5 linked regions of the Ovis aries genome follow. The protein of the gene in region 2 purifies or fractionates together with the protein of the main gene of each other region. This does not show direct contact. Links are inferred from orthologs where the notes say so. Each region holds a gene or a part of one and is shown on either strand. Other genes may lie near its edges.

Region 1 (2,839 bases), on a different chromosome or scaffold from region 2:
CTGAGTTCCTTTCCTGAGGTCCTCCTCCTCTCAACTGCTTTTAATGGGTGCAAATACAGCTGAGGGCTACAAAACGCAGCACCTCAGGGAATGTCTAGGGCACGTCCCTGTGGGGGCATGCGAAGAGCTATGTCTGTGGCCTATGGGTCCACCTCTCCTTTCCCACCCCTAGGCCTTGCTAACAGTTCCAGCTTGTAGCTGAGGCTGGACTCCTTAGCAAGGTTTGAGGGTCCCACTACTACTGCAGGGATTACCAGCCAGGCCTCCTCAGCCCCACCATTCCTCTTCCGCCTCACTACCCCCCATTAAGGGGTCAACAGGGGCTTCCTTGGGGGTCAAACCAGGGTGGCTTCCCTCCATGGATCTGCCCAGGAGAAAGAACTATGCTGCTCCAACCAATCTGCCATTCTAGAGGGTTCCCCACACCCATCCCTTGCCAGAGGGTCACTTCTTGATAACCCCCAAAATCCCCCAAACACATCAAATCTTTACCACCACCAACAGGGAAGTAAGCACACCCCCATTTTATTGCCTTTTTGTCCAACAGTCCTGAGCAGGGAAAGGGGCAGGAATCGGGGTGGAGAGGGGGAGGTTTCACCCTCAGAACCATCATGCAGAGGTCTTAAGGCGGTCTTTAACTGATTAGCGGGGTGAGAAACCCCTTACCCCCTTCCTCACCAATCCCAGTTGGTCTCAGTGGAGTAAAGATTTTTCTGAGGGGGTTTCCAGGCTTCTCACCAGTCCATCAGGGCATCGTCCCAAACTCCTCCTCATCTGCTCTTCTCAGAGTTAAGTACAGGAGAGAGGAGTCTCTTTGAGGAGCCGCCAGTGGTATTTCTCAGGGTTCTAGACAAGGGCGTGTCAAGTCTCTTTCCGTCCAACAGCGGGGCGTCTTGGCTCCCCAGGCCTTAGGGTAAGCAGCTTTTAGTTTGACAGCCCGCCCCAAGCCTCATTGGTTAAGTCTGACCCGGTACCATACAGCAAGTAAAGCCGGGCATTTCTCGCCATCGCACCCCACGTCCCAGGAGAGCTCTTCAACTACCTCAATCTGTCGATCTAGTTTCTCAAGACCTCTCACTTTCCATCGGGGGGCTCCCCCGGTCCTCCAGTCCCCCTGAGCCATCGGCAGAGCCCTTCAGCCGGTCACCGTCCATCCAGCGGGGTCTTCGGTGTCCTTATGCTGTCTAGCGGTCTCCTCCGGTCGTCACCTTCATTGGACAGGGTCCCTGGGGCCCCCGCGCCGTTGGACTCCTCGGTCGGGTCCTGCGTACGGACGAAGGCACCCATGGCCGTGGCGTGGCCCGAGCGTAGCATCTGGAGCTGGCGCCGACCGCGGCGGTACAGGTACTCAATGCGAAGTACGTCTGAGCGTGGCAGGCAGGCGTGCTGCCGGAATTCAGCCCGCACCCGTGCCTCGGCGCCCGGCTTCCCGCGCCCGGCGCGCAACAGCTCGCGGTACAGGCTCAGAACTTGCCTCTGCAACCGGCTGTGCCGGCTCATGGCAGCAGCTGGGCCGCGGGGCACGGAGCGGCGCACGGGAACAGGCGGCAGAAGCGGTGAAACACCGCCACAGGCACTTCCGCCTCCCGCTCCCAGCTTTGCGGCGCCGTCGCGCCTCATAGGTCGTCGCTGCTGCTACGTCACAATGTTGTGAGTAAGGGGCGGAGCTAATGGTTCACTGGCCCGCCCCACTGGACATCAGTGTCCTTGAGAGGACGGTACTCCTGAGGGCCTGGAGGAGGAGGACGCTAGACGCTGAGACTCTTAGGTTTGGGGTCGGAAGAGACCAGGGGATCCTGACCTGACTCTTGGGTCCTGCGAGTGGAGAGAGCTAGAGGTTAGGGTCCTTGTGTTCCCCAGAGCGCTGGGGGCACGGGGAGAGAGAAGACGGGCACACACGTGGGTTTATCCTCATTTATTAAAGCAACCATAGGAAGCTCCGTGAGTCCCCACTCCCAGAGCAAGTGTACATCGAAGGCCCCAACCCCTGGGGAGAGGAATACCCGGTAAAGTGTTGGGTCACAGCCGGCAGAACAAGCCTCTCGGTGCTGAGAATATACCGTGGGCTATAAGCCCCCAAACGCAGCCTGTTTGGGCCGGTAGCGCTCTCTGCCGACGTGAGTCGGATCTGAGGGTAGGAGAGGGAGGGGCCTCCCTAGCTGTTGAAGCGGAGTCCAGCCCACAAGGAACTCTTCGACTATGTTGGCACTCCGCAGACCTGCAGGCAGTATCAGGTAGTCAGCTGCAATTCCGTTATAGTTCCCGCAGGCTATTCGGAGGCGTCCTCGTAGCGCTGGGAGGCCCGCAAGGCCACGACCCGCTCAGCACCCTACCAGCACCTACCAGCACCTACCGGCACCCGGAGCGTGGGGAACCAGGCAACGATAACCCGGGACCCCTCCGCCCAGCGTGCGACCACGCCCCCGCACATCTGGTCATGGGTTCTTCCGCAGGAGGCTAGGCTAGTCAGGGGCTGAGGAGAGGGCCTGAGTCTGGGAGTCGATCAGTTCAGTTCAGTTCAGTTGCTCAGTCGTCTCCTCTCACCTCATGGACGCCAGGCTTCCCTGTCCCTCACCAACTCCCAGAGCTTGCTCAAACTCATGTCCATCGAGTAGGTGATGCTATTCAACCATCTCATCCTCTGTCCTCCCCGTCTCCTCCTGCCTTCAATCTTTCCCAGCATCAGGGTTTTTTCTAATGAGTCAGTTGTTCGCATCAGGTGGCCAAAGTATTGGAGTTTCAGCTTCAGCATCAGTCCTTCCAATGAATATTCAGGACTGATTTCCTTTAGGATTGACTGGTTTGATTTCCTTGCAATCCAAGGGACTCTCAAGAGTCT
Region 2 (4,186 bases):
CTGGTGTGGGATAAGCTGTTTTAATTTTCAGACGATGGGTTTTAATTCTGCTAGGAAGTAAGGTAAAAGCTCTGAGTGTGGGACTGATCCAGGGCCTGGTTGGTTGTAATCAGGCTGCCCCAGGGCAAAGCTGGTTGTCCAGTTTTGTCCCTGGTAATCGGTAATCTCATAAATACAGGCCACTGCACCCAGGGTGCATATGTGTTTGGGTATGATTGTGCTATGTCTGTTGTGCAAAGTCGCTTCAGTCATGTCCAACTCTTCACGCCCCTATGGACTGTTGCTCACCAGGCTCCTCTGTCCCTGGGATTTTCCAGGGAAGAATACTGGAGTGGGTTGCCATGACCTCCTAGAGGGGAGCTTCCTCATCCAGGGAATGATTAGGGATGGCCAATAGGCTTACCTGAGACCTCTGGCTGAAGAAATCTGGGTGGACAAGGCGCTGTAGTTGCTGGTATCTATGCTGGAGCTTCACAGTGTCAACTCTGAAGGAGCGGTTGCTGGAAGGAAATCAGGAGATGAAACTCATGCATCAGATATTTATAGATCTGTATACCATGGGCCTGGTTCCTCTTTTTAGTGGGGACACAACAAACATGTAGACAAGAGCTATTCCAGAAAGTGGTAGGTACTGTAAAGGAAAACAGAATAGGGTCAGAGAATGGTAGATGTAGTGGACAAAGAGATGACATTTGAGCTGAGACCTAAATGATGATGAGGATTAATCAGAGATCAGAGGAAAGACACATTCAGGCACAGGGAACACACAGAGACCTTGAAGTTAGAACAAGACTGGCATGCTTGAACAACTTACAGGGTAGTGTTACTGCGACCCTTCATACGTGCTCAGTGACTGGTGGGGCCAGAGCCCAGAGTTAAGGGGCATTCCAGAATCACACTCTATTTTTCTAAGGCCCAGGTCCCTTCATTTCTGCCTCTTACTTTATTTTAAATGAATCCCCTTCGCTTTTTATTCCCAGAGCCTGCACTATCTCTTTAGCTTCGACCAAATTTGTCACCTCTCCAAACTTCTCGACTTTCCACGGTAAACAGGAAAAACACTTATTTCTCAGACCCTCCAGTTCTCACTTTTCCCTTAGATTCTGCCCACAGCCTTAAGTTTTTCCATGCTCTTACTCTCGTATTTTGGATACCACTTCTGTACTTCTTTCTTAAAAATCTCAAGCCAACTTTAAACATTCTGAACGTCAAGCTTCTATGCTCCAAAGTGAAAGTGAAAGGTGCTCTGCTGCTGCTGCTGCTAAGTCTCTACATTCGTGTCCGACTCTGTGCGACTCCATAGGACGGCAGCCCACCAGGCTCCCCCTTCCTTGGGATTCTCCAGGCAAGAACACTGGATTGGGCTGCCATTGCTTTCTCCAATGCATGAAAAGTGAAGTCGCTCAGTCGTGTCCGACTCTTAGCGACCCCAAGGACTGCAGCCCACCAGGCTCCTCCGTCCATGGGATTTTCCAGGCAAGAGTGCTGGAGTGGGGTGGGGTGCCATTGCCTTCTCCAGAAAGTCGCTCAGTCGTGTCCAACTATTTCGACCCCATGGACTACACAGTCTATGGCATTCTCTAGGCCAGAATACTGGAGTGAGTAGCTTTTCCCTTCCCCAGGGGATCTTCCTAGCCCAGGGATCCAACTCAGGTCTCCCGCATTGCAGGAAGATTCTTTACTAGCTGAGCCACAAGGGAAGCCTGTAATTAACGGATCTTCCTAAACCAGGGGTAGAACCTAGGTCTCCTGTATTGTAGGCGGATTCTTTACCAGCTGAGCCACCAGGGAAACCCAAGTATACCGGAGTGGGTAGCTTATCCCATCTCCAGCAGATCTTTTCGACCCAGGAATCGAACCGGAGTCTCCTGAATTGCAGGCAGATTCTTTACCCTGAGCTATCGCTATCAGGGAAGCCCTGAAGTGAAATGAAGTGAAGTGAACTCGCTCAGTCGTGTCCGACTCTTTGCGACCCTGTGGACTGTAGCCCACCAGGCTCCTCTGTCCATGGGATTCTCCAGGCAAGAATACTGGAGTGGGTTGCCATTTCCTTTTCCAGGGGATCTTCCTGACCCAGGGATCGAACCCAGGTCTCCTGCATTGCAGGCAGACGCTTTACCCTTTGAGCCACCAGGGAAGCCCCAGGGAAGCCCCAGGGAAGCCCCAGGGAAGCCCCAGGGAAGCCCTAGGGCCGCGCAAGTACCTTCCCCTCAAAGCCCCGCCTCTCAACTTGGCCTTCTCTCAGAACCCGCCCCTCCATGGCTGCCTTCAAACTTCAGTTTCCCCTAACCACTCCCCGCCTATCTACTCCAAGACTCACTCTCGTCTTCACCCCCTTAAAGCGTCCTCGCTCAGGCCAGCCCCTTAATTTCCTCCCCAGCCACATCCCACGCACCCTTCTCGACCAGGCTCCACCCCCAGTCCGGTCCTCCAGGGCTCCGCCAACCAGTGTGACTGGTCCAGCCTTCCTCCTCCCCTAGCCTGACCCGCCCTCCACTCTCGCACGTCCAGACGCGTTTCAGGAAACGGCCTCCATACCAGTCCATGAGGCTGAAGTAATCTCGAGTCGGGTCAGGTGGCTGCAGCGCGCGGCACTGAGGGCAGAAGAACCGGTCCCCCCGCGGTGGGCCCCCTGCGCCGCCACAGTTCCAACATCGTGGGGAGCTGCTTCCTGCCAGGGACGCAGCATTGCAGTTTAGCAGTCTTCTCCCGAGCACCCCTGTCGGCCACCACCCCGACAGCCGGAGCAAGGTCCCGGTCCTTCCGGCCCACATCGGGCCGGCAGCCTGCCTCGCCGAGGTCACCTGAGACTGACCACACTCGTGCTAGTGATTGGCTGGGGAACTGGGCGGGGGGCGGGACGACCCGGGGGAAACCTGGGTTCTGAGTCTCACTCTGCAGCTTAAACTACAACTCCCAGAAAGCATTGAAGCTGCGGGCAGCCACATCCGCTGCTTCTCATTGGTCCAGCGGGAGCGGAGGGGTGTTTTGATTGGTGGAGGGTGGAGTTTGTATCTGCGGGTTTAGCGCCACTCCGCTGGCTGCGGCTGCTCTGGGTTGTACTCTTCCAGAGGGGCTCACGCGGTGAGTCATAGTGGGGAGCTTCTTTTGGGTATTTAGGGGTTCGAATCCTGTCCTCAGGGTGTTATTGCGAGCTGAATCTCCCGAGCCTTCATCTTGTCCTGTGTATGAGCTCGGGAAGGCGCGAGGGAGAGGAATGCGTGGGCGACTCTCTTCCTCCTTTGTAGACAAACCTCGAGGTGAATTTCACTTCCCTTGTTATTTACAAGCAGAAACTGGCCCAGAAGTACGGGATAAGAAAGAACCAAGTTGTGCTCTTCAGAATCAGAGCCAAGCTGCTCTGCAGATTGTTTTAAAGGTGTTAGTAATTATTTTCATGAAAGTGAAAGTGAAGTCGCTCAGTCGTGTCCGACTCTTTGCGACCCCATGAACTGTAGCCTATCAGGCTCCTCCGTCCATGGGATTTTCCAGGCAAGAGTGCTGGAGTGGATTGCCATATCTTTCTCCAGGGGATCTTCCCGACCCAGGAATCGAACCCGGGTCTCCCGCATTGCAGGCAGACGCTTTACCGTCTGAGCCACCAGGGAAGCCCAATTATTATCCTAGTTTGGTTCAATCTGAAAAATGCCTATTGAGAACCCATTCTCAATAGGCTCTGCTGGAACTGGCAGCAGCACACTGACTTGTGTAAGAAGATGCTTCGAGAGTGTCCGTAAGGAAGTGTGGGGGATTGGGTGGCAAAGGGAGGGGAGGGGGGCCACCAGTTTTCCTTGGGACTCAGTTTCTCTATTTGAGGAAAAATAAATTGTGTTGCACTTGTAAGGCCTTTCCCTGCTTTCAGATTCTTTGGGCCTGAGAGTCCGATTATAAAGCTTTACTGAGGGGGTGAGGTTGAAAGAACGTTGCTGCAGCATCTCATTTGATTTTCCGTCTACTTTTTGGGTTCAGAGTGGTTGTGATCTACCTAAAGGTCATGCGAAGAACTGACTTAGCTGACTCCAAATGTGTTTGCTTATAAGCTCTCCACTGTACCTGGGGGAGGCCCATGTAGTCCTGGTGTGGTGGACCCTTCTTATCAGGTGTGATGATAGCAGCTACCTCTTGACACACTGTCTTTTGCCACTTTTCAGGGCGGACAAGTTTTGCTCCAAAGACACAGGAGGTC
Region 3 (2,456 bases), on a different chromosome or scaffold from region 2:
GTGGCTCCCCGCCCACGGGCCGGACCACAGCTGCTGGCCGACTCTGACGTGGGCTGTGCCAGGAGAGCTGAGCTGGGCCACGAGCCTCCCTCCAGGGAACGCAAGCCGAGAAATGAGGAGCCAGGCAGCTGCTGAGGCTGCGGCAGGGCGAGCCCAGGAGCAGGAGCAGAGAGAGGGAGTGAAAGCTAAGCGGAGCTCCGAGGCCGCGGACAGACACACGGAGCGCGGGCCTGCTGCGGGGGAGTGCGGCGGGCGCAGCCCTCGGGCCAGCGGGACCGCAGCCCGCACGGCCGCCTGTGCTCGGATGCTTCCGTCCCGTGTTCCTGCAGCCAGAGCGAGCCCAGCGGATCCGAGGGCAGGAACCCGCGTCGGAGCCCACGGGACCAGCCTCGCGCCCACACCCCCGGGCCCACGCTGAGGCGGCCGCGCGCTCTGCCCCCGGGCCCACGTGGCGGGTACCTTGGGGCAGGTCCGCGTGCAGTTCATGATGGTGTGGCAGCGGTAGAGAGAGAAGGGGTCCTGCAGCTTGGCCAGGCGCTCCTCCGTGAAGTCGTCTCTGGAGTCGATCATCCAGCGATAGGCCTGGGGGAGCGGGCCCTGGTGAGCCGAGCCGAGCCCTAACTGGCCGCAGCAGCCCTCTGACTGACCGCAAGGCTCCTGGGGTGCAGAGCGCCGCGCCCACCCAGCTTAGAGATCGTCTCCACACCCTTTATTTCTTGTCCCCTTTCAGAGAAAGGCTTCCCACCCTTTCATAACATCTTCCGATCACCTCGACCAATGGTCCCCACGAACCTCTGAGCCACAGCACCTGGTCCCTGGTGCCTAATTATACACCAAGGGCGTCGTGTCTTCAACTACTGATCTCACGCCCTCATTAGCCTCCTCCCTAGATCACCAAAGAGCAAAGGCAGGCATGCTGGGCTTGACTCTCTCTTAACTGCCTCCCCAGCACCTACTCACCGTCTCTGAGTAAACAGAGGACTTAACGTTCAATCTACTTATTGATTCTCTTAATGAGCATGGCCATCTAGGAAGCCTGAGCTCAGCCAGCTGAACACGGACTCAGCTCCTGAGCAGCAGGCTTGCTCCAGCAGTGTGGCCGGGAGGCCCTCTACGCTTCCCAACAACGCAGACGCCGGTGTAAGTGCCAACTATGAACACACCTCACTATTCAGTCTTTAACTTGGCCAACATCAGTACTGCTAACTGGTCGCAGAACCACAGAACTTCTCTTTTTGTGGGAAAATGAAAACAAGAAGTTGTTTTTTGAGTTGCTTAAGGCTTTATGAAAAGCGCTGACCACAAATATAAGTATGAGCTTTCTGGGAACAAAGACAGTGACTCTCGGCTGTGAACTACACACCCAGTCAGAGGCTATGGAAAGCAGCACGCCTTTCTTTCTAAGCAACCTCTCAAGCCTGCACTGCAGGCTTTCATTAGCCGGGAAACAATCTCCAACATTTCACCGTTAACTGCCCCTCAGTGAAATTTTTCTCTGCCCTGCCTGCATGTTGAAAATCCCTGGAAGGGAGGTGGGGAGCTTTCTGACAGATGGAGTCAGGGAAAGCGGGCAAGTGGGCAGCGAAGAGCCAGCTACACAGGAAAATGTCTTGAACATCCGCACGGCACGGCCTGCCAACCTGCAGCCACCAGCCCCTGGTGTGGCCCTTGCCACACTAAACGGAGGCGTTCTGCAGATGGAGCCCCAAGACTTCCCGAAGCCAAGTGAAGGCGATGTGACCCATTACCCCGTTTGTCGCGGGTGCCAGGGAAGGACACCACCCCTCAGAACAGCGAGTTTCCAGCACACTGTCCTCCTGGAGTCCTGCAAGCCCGTCTCGGCTTCCCTCCCGATATCGAAGGCGCCTCACCTGCATGAGGACCGCGGGGCCCAGGTACTTGTCTCCGTTCCACCAGTAGCTTGGGCAGCTGGTGCTGCAGCAGGCGCAGAGAATGCACTCATAGAGCCCATCCTGTGGGGGGGGAAAGGGGGTCAGGAGCCCATCGCGCAGGAGGCAGCTGTGCCCTGAGCTGACCCAGCGTAACGTGTGGGACAAAGCGCACTAAGCTTTGCTGCGTTTCTGGCGAAATCCCAGCAGTGGCTGCAGAGATTCACCAGGTTCATAAAAAGATCTTGGAACTGATCTTCAGACATGTGCTGGGTCAGAGCCCAAAGTTCTTAAGTCCAGACGTACTTATCCTTTAACAAATAACCCCTTGCTGCTGCTAAGTCACTTCAGTCGTGTTCGACTCCTCACGACCCCATGGACGGCAGCCTACCAGGCTCCTCCACCCATGAGATTTTCCAGGCAAGAGTACTGGAGTGGATTGCCATTGCCTTCTCCAAAATAACCCCTTACTTATCTTAAAAAAAAAAAAAAAAAAAAACCCACACACATGAAAAGAACTTACCACCTCAAATGCAGTCTAGCAGAAATTAAAAAGCCCCCAAGTGC
Region 4 (4,213 bases), on a different chromosome or scaffold from region 2:
TCCATTTTTCGACCTGTGAAATGAGTTTTTTGGATCAGATGCTTGCTAATGCCCATTTCCAGTTCTTGAACACTGTGTACTATTCTTGCCTTAAAAAAAAAAAAAAAAGAATTCTCATCTCCTAAGTTTGTGTTCACAGGACAACACTTCATCTATAAGCACGTAAATCAAAGTTTTCAGATAGAGTGAGGCAGAAGATTCTTTTACCCAGTCTTCTTGCAAAACCAAGGGTATCCCCCACCCAGATTTTCTAAAGTGTTGTATTCAGGCTCCCATTTCTTGGTAAGGCAAGAAGCCCTATCATACTTCAGCTAAACACTTGGATTTTTCTATACAATTACTTCTTTTGCTTGAATTTTCATTGCCTTAGGCCTCATGTTGCTCATCAATTCAAGTCTACTCTCATAGTTAGCACCACAGTTCTTGGTTTTTTTCTAACATTTAATGAATGGAACTTGATCACCTGGAGGTATTCCCCTTACTCTATTACAACAGTTATTAGTGATTTTAATTAGACAAAAGCCACCATTCCCTTTGCTATCCTATCATATTGTCAAATGCCTGTTAAATATATTACAGTAATGTTATTAGCACCTTTTAAATTTGCATTAACACAAACACACAAATGAGAAGTCAGGAAAAGAAAAGAAGAAAAGAATAACTCAGATGTCATAATTTACCAAAGTTTAGAGTAACTCCAAAACTCATCAGTAGCTATCGTTCAATTAAAAAAAAAATACTATGCACATCCTAGATAAAACTGCAGGAATGATCATCATTTTAATTGTCTCTCATCAATTAAAAATGGGGAAAAGGACAAGGACAAGGCTGTGCTGTGGTCAAGCCCCATATTGTTTTCTTCAAAAGGGAAGAGATATTTCTAACAGAGAATGTAAAGTTGAGTACTTGAGTCATTTCTCCAAGAGTCATCACCAACTCATAACTCCCCAAAGGCCTTCTGGCTACTATGACTCTTGCCATCTACAGAAAGTAAAATCTCCTAAAGGCCAAGCTCTAATAGCTATTCAGTGTCCATCATTGGCCCTCCTAGGATTTTATTCTCTAGAAACAAGGAGAAAGAGGACAAGGTCAATACTCAAATGTGTTCCAATGATGGGACTGAATTTTCACTAAATTGAGGAAGGACGTTTCCCATCATTCTCCTTGACCCCCTCCTTTCACCATCTCAGCACCCCACACCCATACCCAACCCTGCCAGTCGGCAAGAGCAGGCAGCTCATTCCAGGAAGTGAGTTACTAAACCAGCAAGGCTGGGGTGGGTTTCTAGGTACCTTTATCACATGGCCTAACAAATGGGTTCAAAAGCAGGACTGGCGACTGAGGACAGGCAGCTACCTCAGAACAGGTAACTGAAGACAAGAAAAAAATGTTTCCCACCATTATAGTAAACAGTAATGTTGCCTACCATCAAATCAGTAGCCACTGCAATGGCCCCATACAGTGCACCCTGAGGGGAACTGGAGAAGGCAATGGCACCCCACTCCAGTACTCTTGCCTGGAAAATCCCATGGATGGAGGAGCCTGGTAGGCTGCAGTCCATGGGGTCGCGACTTCACACAACTGAGCGACTTCACTTTCACTTTTCACTTTCATGCATTGGAGAAGGAAATGGCAACCCACTTCAGTGTTCTTGCCTAGAGAATCCCAGGGATGGAGGAGCCTAGTCGGCTGCCATCTATGGGGTCCCACAGAGTTGGACACGACTGAAGTGACTTAGCAGCAGCAGCAGCAGATAACGTTAAGATGCATATCAAAGGAATATTTCAATATACCCAGACTCTTACAGCTTCCATATGGAGAAAAGCATCAAAATCACTAACTTGTCATTTCTACATTTTGTGATTAGTCTTAACCCTTTAAGCTTCCACAACAAGGTTTGTGTTTTGTTTGTTTTCCAGCAAAAACTCGTGTACATCCTGGCTCCTCCCCTACCTCTTTCCAACAATTCCTCAGAGCTATCCAGAAACTTCCTCAGGATACAGTCCTCAATAAATGCCTCAGAAAAAAAGTATTTCTCAACTTTTAGGTTGTGTTTTGGTGTTGTGTGTGTGTGTTGGCAACATGTGTTTTGGTTGTGTTTGTGTGTGTGTGTGTGTTGGCAACACAATAACACCTCAGGACCTCAAACCCCATTTCCAGGAACTTTTCCTGAAGTTGCCTGTGCAGCGCCTGGTGCAGGGCCCGGCGCCCTCCCGATGCTGAGGGAATCCACGGCAGCGAAAACTGGGAGTTGGGTGGCTCTCACTCTGAGGTGGTCCCGGCTGTCATTAACCCCTCAGCCCGAGACCCCCTTTCCACACATGAAGCAGAGGGTGCTGGGGTCCCTCGTGCGCCGCAGACGCAGCACCGCGCGTCCTCTCCACAGGTGTGGCGCCGCGGCGACCGCGCACCCGGTACCAGGAAGAGGAGGACAGAAGGGGACGGAAGGGGACCAACGGCTGCTCGAGGCCCCCACCAAGGGGTCCGCTCACCTGGGACCTGGCCGCCAGGAGCGGGGGCCGGAGCGCCAGGTCTCTCAGAAGTTTCCGGGCCTGCGCTCCCACGGGGGCCGCCATCTTATCCAGGAAGCCAGCGAGGGGATCCTGACGGGGTGCCGGCGGGGCGGGAGGGGGCTGGAAGAGGAAGGGAGGGGGAAGGGGCGGGGCCGCCCGCCGCCTACCGCCCGCCCCGCCCCCTCCGCCCGGCCGCGCCTGGTGACCCTGGGACGCGGCCGCACTCCTGAGGGAGCGCCTGTCGAAGCCCTGCGTCCCCCACGACGACCGCCACCTCGGCCCCAAATTCACTTTCAGCATTTGGAGCCTCCTCTTCGCGCTACCGCGGGTCACAGTGTGAGCGAAAACCCACCCCGAGCCCAGCGGTTGTGGACTTAAAGTGCCCTGGAGCGAGAGGCCAGTGCCTGTTGCCAGTTCCAGGGAGTGCTCTGAGGAGCGGCCAGTGTGGGATGCCAAGCGAGGGATAGGCCTCTGCTCTGGTCCTGGGGCCTCAGGGGCTCCTGTAGGGAAGCGGTGTTTGAGGTGAACCTTGAGGGAGTAAGGGAGAAGCAAGCGGGCCTGAAGAGGTCAGTGGAGGCCCTCTACCCTTTAGTGAGACTTTGTCTCTTTGTGAAGATTTAGACAAAGGTATTGAAGGATTTTAAACGTGTAGTCGCCCGAGTAAGACCAAGAGTTTACTTGGAGTTTATATAACTCTAAGCACTGTCTGTGGAATAAAAATAGCTAGCAAATATGCTTAATATATGGCAGGCACTTTACAAATAAGGACTCGTTTAGTGTTCATAGCAAGCTTTCCAGTAGGCACCAATGGAAAAAAAAATCCCCATTTTGCAGAAGAAAAAACTGAGACACAAGGAGGTTTCCTTGCTTATTGAGGGTCACAGATCTGATAAGGATGGAAAGTTTCAAACTCATGCTTTCTTCTCCCAACCCTATAAAGTGTCATTTTCGAATTTTTAACCTTACTTTATTCTTGAGCCTATGATCGTGAGAAAAGGTACAAATTTAACAGAACTGAGCAACTATTTCTGCTAGTTTTCTTTGAAAGTGAAAGTCACGCAGTTGTGTCCCACTCTTTGTAACCCCATGGACTGTACTGTCCATGGAAATCTCTAGGCCAGAATATTGGGATGGGTAGCCTTTCCCTTCTCCAAGGGATCTTCCCAACCCAGGAATCCAACTGGGGTCTCCTGCATTGCAGGCAGATTTTTACCAACTGAGCTATCCTTTTGTTTTTGACCCCCCCAAAAAAAAATCTACAGAAAAGTTGCAAGAATATTATCCCCAAACCCCCAAATATCCTTTATGCAGATTTATTGATAGCACTTGTTTACATTTTGCCTCAATCCCCATTTTTAATAGATATAGATATGTAGCTTTATAGCCGATTCTTAGTCATAGTTTTACTGGCTAAATTTCTTATCCATTGATGATTATTTCTTATATCAGTTTTTACTGTGATGGTTGTAAAATCATGATTGTCTAGTTCCATTCCTTTCTATATTTTCTATAGTTTATGTTCTACTCAGAAGAGCTTTATTGTCCCCCATGTTTGTTTATTCTTTTTTTTATTTTTTATTTTTTGTTCTGTTGGGTGTTGGTACACCTGAGATCTTAGTTGCGGCATACAAGATCTTTTCTTTGTGGAGGGCAGGCTCCAGATCTCATGGTCTTCCTGATTGGGGCCTATTTGCCCCGCT
Region 5 (4,080 bases), about 3.7 Mb from region 2:
AAAAAACACTTAAGACTATCCATAATTCCCAATGTGGAGAAGAGTTTGATAAAAGTCTGGGTAAGCAAAATTAAGAAAGAAAATCCTTGGAATATTTAGAAAAAAATTATAGTGTGTGTTTGTTTAAAACCTTCCCTTAACCAAGAGGCAGGTGTGTGGGGATATGACTTAATTCCAGTTTTCAAGAGCCTTACCGTCTTCCCCTTGACCCATTCGGTGGCTAATGAGCTGGAGGCGATGGCAGAGCCACAGCCGAATGTTTTAAACCTGGCGTCCACGATCCTCCCCTGTTCATCCACTTGAATCTGGAAAAGAGGCAGGAGTTAGCAGGGTTCTGGCACTGCCTGCAGAGCCCGGCACTTAGGGAGGCCCGCAGGGCATTTCCTAAGAGTTTTGTTCCTGCTTTCCATACTTAAAAGTTTGGGCGTTGATTATTGAGGCCCCTCTGTTTCAAAGAGTTCAGCAATGAAAAGTTGCAAGCAGGAACAACTATACAGAATTATACAGGCCTCGCTGGCAAAGATCAGCCACAAAGTGTGCCTCCTGCCCAGTCTCCTCCCACTCCCAAGCCTGACTTTTGGCTTCCCAGCTGCTGGGTCAGTGTGTGCCTTTAAGCACTGCCAGAGCTGGCAGTGAAGGTCACTGGCTGGTGCTTTCCCCTTTGACGTCAAACTGCATGCAGTGTGTTCCTCCCTGCCTTGCTTCTGTTCTCCAAGATACGCATGAAGCCGCCTGGCCAGCTTCCCACCACAGTGACGAAGGAGATGTGGAGAAAGCTATGGTTTACCAGAGTGCCGGGCGCTTCCACCGGGGCAGGCAGAGTTTGATTTGTGGCATTTCCCGTCCCTCTGGGGATAGCTAACTGATACAGTGAGTATGAACGTGAGATCTGTTTATTTTGTCAGAAGGGGTCAGCACAGTTTACCAGGAGGACTAGGATTCAGCCCCTGCTGGAATCATTTGTAACACTGACTTCTCCCACCTCACAGGAATCAAGATGGGGACCAGAGGAAATGCTGGACATGTAAATGCTCTGTCAACTACAGAACACCGTTCAAGCAAAGGGGTCACCGTTACCACCAGTAAAGATGGAAACCAGGGGTACCTGTAATTTCATGACATCACCACACGCTGGAGCCCCCACCAATCCAGTCCCAACATTTTTAGATGTCTTGTCAAGGGACCCCACGTTTCGGGGATTTTCATAATGATCCACAACCTGAAATGAGAGTGAAGAGAAATCACAGTCACTCTTTTTTGCTGTTCATCTCCCCGACTTTGATGGCAAGCTCCTTCAAGTCAGCAAGCTGGACCTGGCAGGCCATCACTAAATACCAAATTTCACTTGGGCAGGATTTAAGAGATATGGGGATCCTGGAGAAAAATCAGCAAAATCATGTCTTAATTCTGTGGGGTTTTGAACCACAACTAATTACTTGACCTCTAACCACCCAAGTCACAGAGTTGGGCTCAAACAGCACCTGTGTAATTTCGGAAGAAAATCCATTCTCAAAAGAATGATTACTATGCAAAAACCTACACGTCTGTATGGTCCCAGAAGCCTCATGGAGATTGTTACGGGAGGAACAAGGCTATGGAATACAGCCATTTGTGTGTGGTGATAAATAACCACCATGACTGTATTTCGGGGCCCTGAAATCTGCGGTGCCGCAGCGCGCTCTGGTGGCGGAAAGGCTGCGCGCGCCAGGTCATTCCGCGTGTACTGTCAACAATATACAGCCCTGGGTCCGCGGGGAGTGAGGTCTGTGCGCAAACGCGTGGAAGCCAGAACAGAGTAGACATCTATTCAAACTGGCACATGCGAGGCTTTAAAAACCTTGCGGTTTGTTTCCCAGTTAGTCGTTAAGTATTCCGAACTTCCAGTCCCCTTCCCCCGACCTATCCGACCACGGATTTTGACTTCCAAGTCCAAGGATCTGTAAGATAATATCCAGTTTCGACTTTCTGCCCCGGGGTTGATTTATCGCACTTTTTTTACTTAACCGGTTCCCAAGCGAGACACGTCTCATGTGGCTGCCAACTACCCAACCTGTCTTAACTCACAGCATCCCACCACCCCCAAACCAAACCAAAACAAACACAAAAACGTGACGACTGTTGGTTACACGTCCATGTCCACTCGGAGGCTCTGAGCTCCTGCAACAGTAACACCGACCCTCAGCGGCCTCCCTGTGCCAAGCGCCCTGCCCAGGACTCCGCAGGCAATGCACTCGCGTCCGGGGGCGCTGCCCAGACCCCATCTGACGAGCGCGGGGCAGTGACTCGCCCAAGGTCACTCGGCCGCTGTGTGTCCGGCTAGCCCGGACAGAGCAGGACCCTGCTTCCTGGGCAGCCGAGAGGCTTAAAGGCCGGATGGATGTTTCAGATTGAGGGCAGCTGCCGCTAGGCTAGCGGGAGCTGTCATTCCTGTTTCAGGCGCGGTTAGTCGCCCCAGCGCAGCGAGGGAAAGCCATTCGAGGCGGCCTCTTGAGAGGAAGGCCCCTCCATCCAGGGCTGGGGGCGGCCAGGGCCCTGGGCTGCAGTCGGGGTTCCAGGGCCGCGCAGAGCGGGGAGGGCCACTAGGCTGGGCTTCCGCTAGGACCCCTAAGTCCTCTGGGGGGTCCTCGCACTCCCGCCCGCCCCCCCGCCCGGTGCGGACCCCCGGGCCGCTCTTACCTTCTTGTGATAGAGCCGAGCGGGAGCTGAGAGCTCCCGGGCGGGCAGGCGCGGGGGCCGGAGCAACAGGGCCGACGCCGCCCGCCTCAGACGGCCCGCTCCAGCCGCCGCCATCTTGAGGGCTTGCGCCTGCGCAGGTGGAGCGCGCGGCCGAGGGGAGGGGCGCGTGCGCGAGTCGGCTCCCTGCTGGGAGCGCGCACCCTCTAAAGTACCGGCGACCTTGCGCCTGCGCCCTCCCGCTGCGTTCACGTGTCCCCGTTTTGTTCCCGCGGCGCGGAGCCTAAAGGTTTGAAATCGTTCGAGGGCTGGTCCACCGAGCTGGGTTCTGAATCTTGAGGATCCTTGAGCAGGAAATCAGGACCCAGCTTTGCGTTGACAAAGCCCCACCGCCTATTTCGGCGCAGAGGCTCAACCAGTCCACCCTTCTTGGCTCTATTTTGCAGCTTAGGAATTTGAGGATCAGAACGGTTTAGTAACTTGCCCTAGGTTGCCCAGAGGGGCCCAGTTGGGATTCTGACTTGAACAGTCCTGAGTTAGAATCCCATTTCTGCTCCTAACTGGCTGTGTGCTGCTAAGTGAAACATAGTGTCATTGTAAACCTCGATCTTTTTTGTACTAATTCAAGGACAGTTCTTCATCCATTGAGCAAATCTTGTGTTGAGTATCTACTTTTTGTCAGGGTGCTTTGGGAAAACAACCCAAGACGACACAATTAAGCTTGCTACTGAGGGAGCAAGGCAATAAATAGACCCACCAAGGCTTTTCTACCACTAAAGTGAGAAGCTTAACTAAAGGAAAGAATACTTTGCTCTGATTTTAAAAATTGTATATGTTTATGTCTCTATTAAAAAGCAAACTGGCACAGATTAAATCACAAGATATAGCAATGAAGAGATTCTAAGTAAATATTTATTAATGTAATTTATTGATACTGGTTTGCAGAATATGATCCTATAAAATCAAAACTCACGTGTATTTAAGTGCTAGGCGCCAGGCATTAGATAAAGAGAAGGAATCTCTGGGAAATGAGTTATTCTCATGAATGGTGCAATCGATCCTTCCCTGAGGACTTAAGACTTTTTTGCGCGTTTGAGGCTCAGTTGCTGGGGAGACTGACTCACGCGCCAGGTCAGACTAGGTGGTAAGATATTTATTCCAAGAATCATTTTTGACCTTCTCAAGATGGCGCCAAACCCTTAACTACAACCATCACGCTCACTCAGTGGCTGCCTCTATGGCTTCCACTTCCTGCCTAAGGACCCAACTGCTGTCCGACGTTGTGCCGAAACGCATGCCCTGTTGGTGAGCTTTTTTATTCGAACAAGAGCTACTGAAAGTATATAAAATAACATGAATCTCGTGTATTTCGAGATTTCCATGTCATCCGAGGCGCATAGTTTCTCT

What was found.
Region 1: the proteins of HSCB (region 2) and SDHAF1 purify together in Homo sapiens (co-immunoprecipitation; 3 studies listed by BioGRID and IntAct, with this or other methods). This does not show direct contact. The link is inferred for Ovis aries from reciprocal best matches to the Homo sapiens genes HSCB and SDHAF1.
Region 3: the proteins of HSCB (region 2) and SDHB purify together in Homo sapiens (co-immunoprecipitation; 3 studies listed by BioGRID and IntAct, with this or other methods). This does not show direct contact. The link is inferred for Ovis aries from reciprocal best matches to the Homo sapiens genes HSCB and SDHB.
Region 4: the proteins of HSCB (region 2) and SUCLG2 purify together in Homo sapiens (affinity purification with mass spectrometry; 3 studies listed by BioGRID and IntAct, with this or other methods). This does not show direct contact. The link is inferred for Ovis aries from reciprocal best matches to the Homo sapiens genes HSCB and SUCLG2.
Region 5: the proteins of HSCB (region 2) and ISCU purify together in Homo sapiens (affinity purification with western blotting; 3 studies listed by BioGRID and IntAct, with this or other methods). This does not show direct contact. The link is inferred for Ovis aries from reciprocal best matches to the Homo sapiens genes HSCB and ISCU.

What each region holds. Positions count from the first base shown.
Region 1 is NC_056067.1:45,972,966-45,975,804, reverse strand, and holds SDHAF1 (succinate dehydrogenase assembly factor 1, mitochondrial), read right to left. Parts: upstream 1,595-2,839; 5' UTR 1,501-1,594; coding exon 1,144-1,500; 3' UTR 510-1,143; downstream 1-509.
Region 2 is NC_056070.1:68,186,132-68,190,317, reverse strand, and holds the start of HSCB (iron-sulfur cluster co-chaperone protein HscB), read right to left. Parts: upstream 2,813-4,186; 5' UTR 2,775-2,812; coding exon 2,539-2,774; intron 501-2,538; coding exon 404-500; intron 1-403.
Region 3 is NC_056055.1:249,242,726-249,245,181, reverse strand, and holds part of SDHB (succinate dehydrogenase [ubiquinone] iron-sulfur subunit, mitochondrial), read right to left. Parts: intron 1,974-2,456; coding exon 1,872-1,973; intron 583-1,871; coding exon 460-582; intron 1-459. UniProt on the Homo sapiens protein: Iron-sulfur protein (IP) subunit of the succinate dehydrogenase complex (mitochondrial respiratory chain complex II), responsible for transferring electrons from succinate to ubiquinone (coenzyme Q).
Region 4 is NC_056072.1:33,943,500-33,947,712, reverse strand, and holds the start of SUCLG2 (succinate--CoA ligase [GDP-forming] subunit beta, mitochondrial), read right to left. Parts: upstream 2,814-4,213; coding exon 2,493-2,813; intron 2,485-2,492; exon of another isoform or gene 1-2,484. UniProt on the Homo sapiens protein: GTP-specific succinyl-CoA synthetase functions in the citric acid cycle (TCA), coupling the hydrolysis of succinyl-CoA to the synthesis of GTP and thus represents the only step of substrate-level phosphorylation in the TCA.
Region 5 is NC_056070.1:64,528,494-64,532,573, forward strand, and holds the start of ISCU (iron-sulfur cluster assembly enzyme ISCU), read right to left. Parts: upstream 2,802-4,080; 5' UTR 2,791-2,801; coding exon 2,677-2,790; intron 1,220-2,676; coding exon 1,106-1,219; intron 306-1,105; coding exon 195-305; intron 1-194.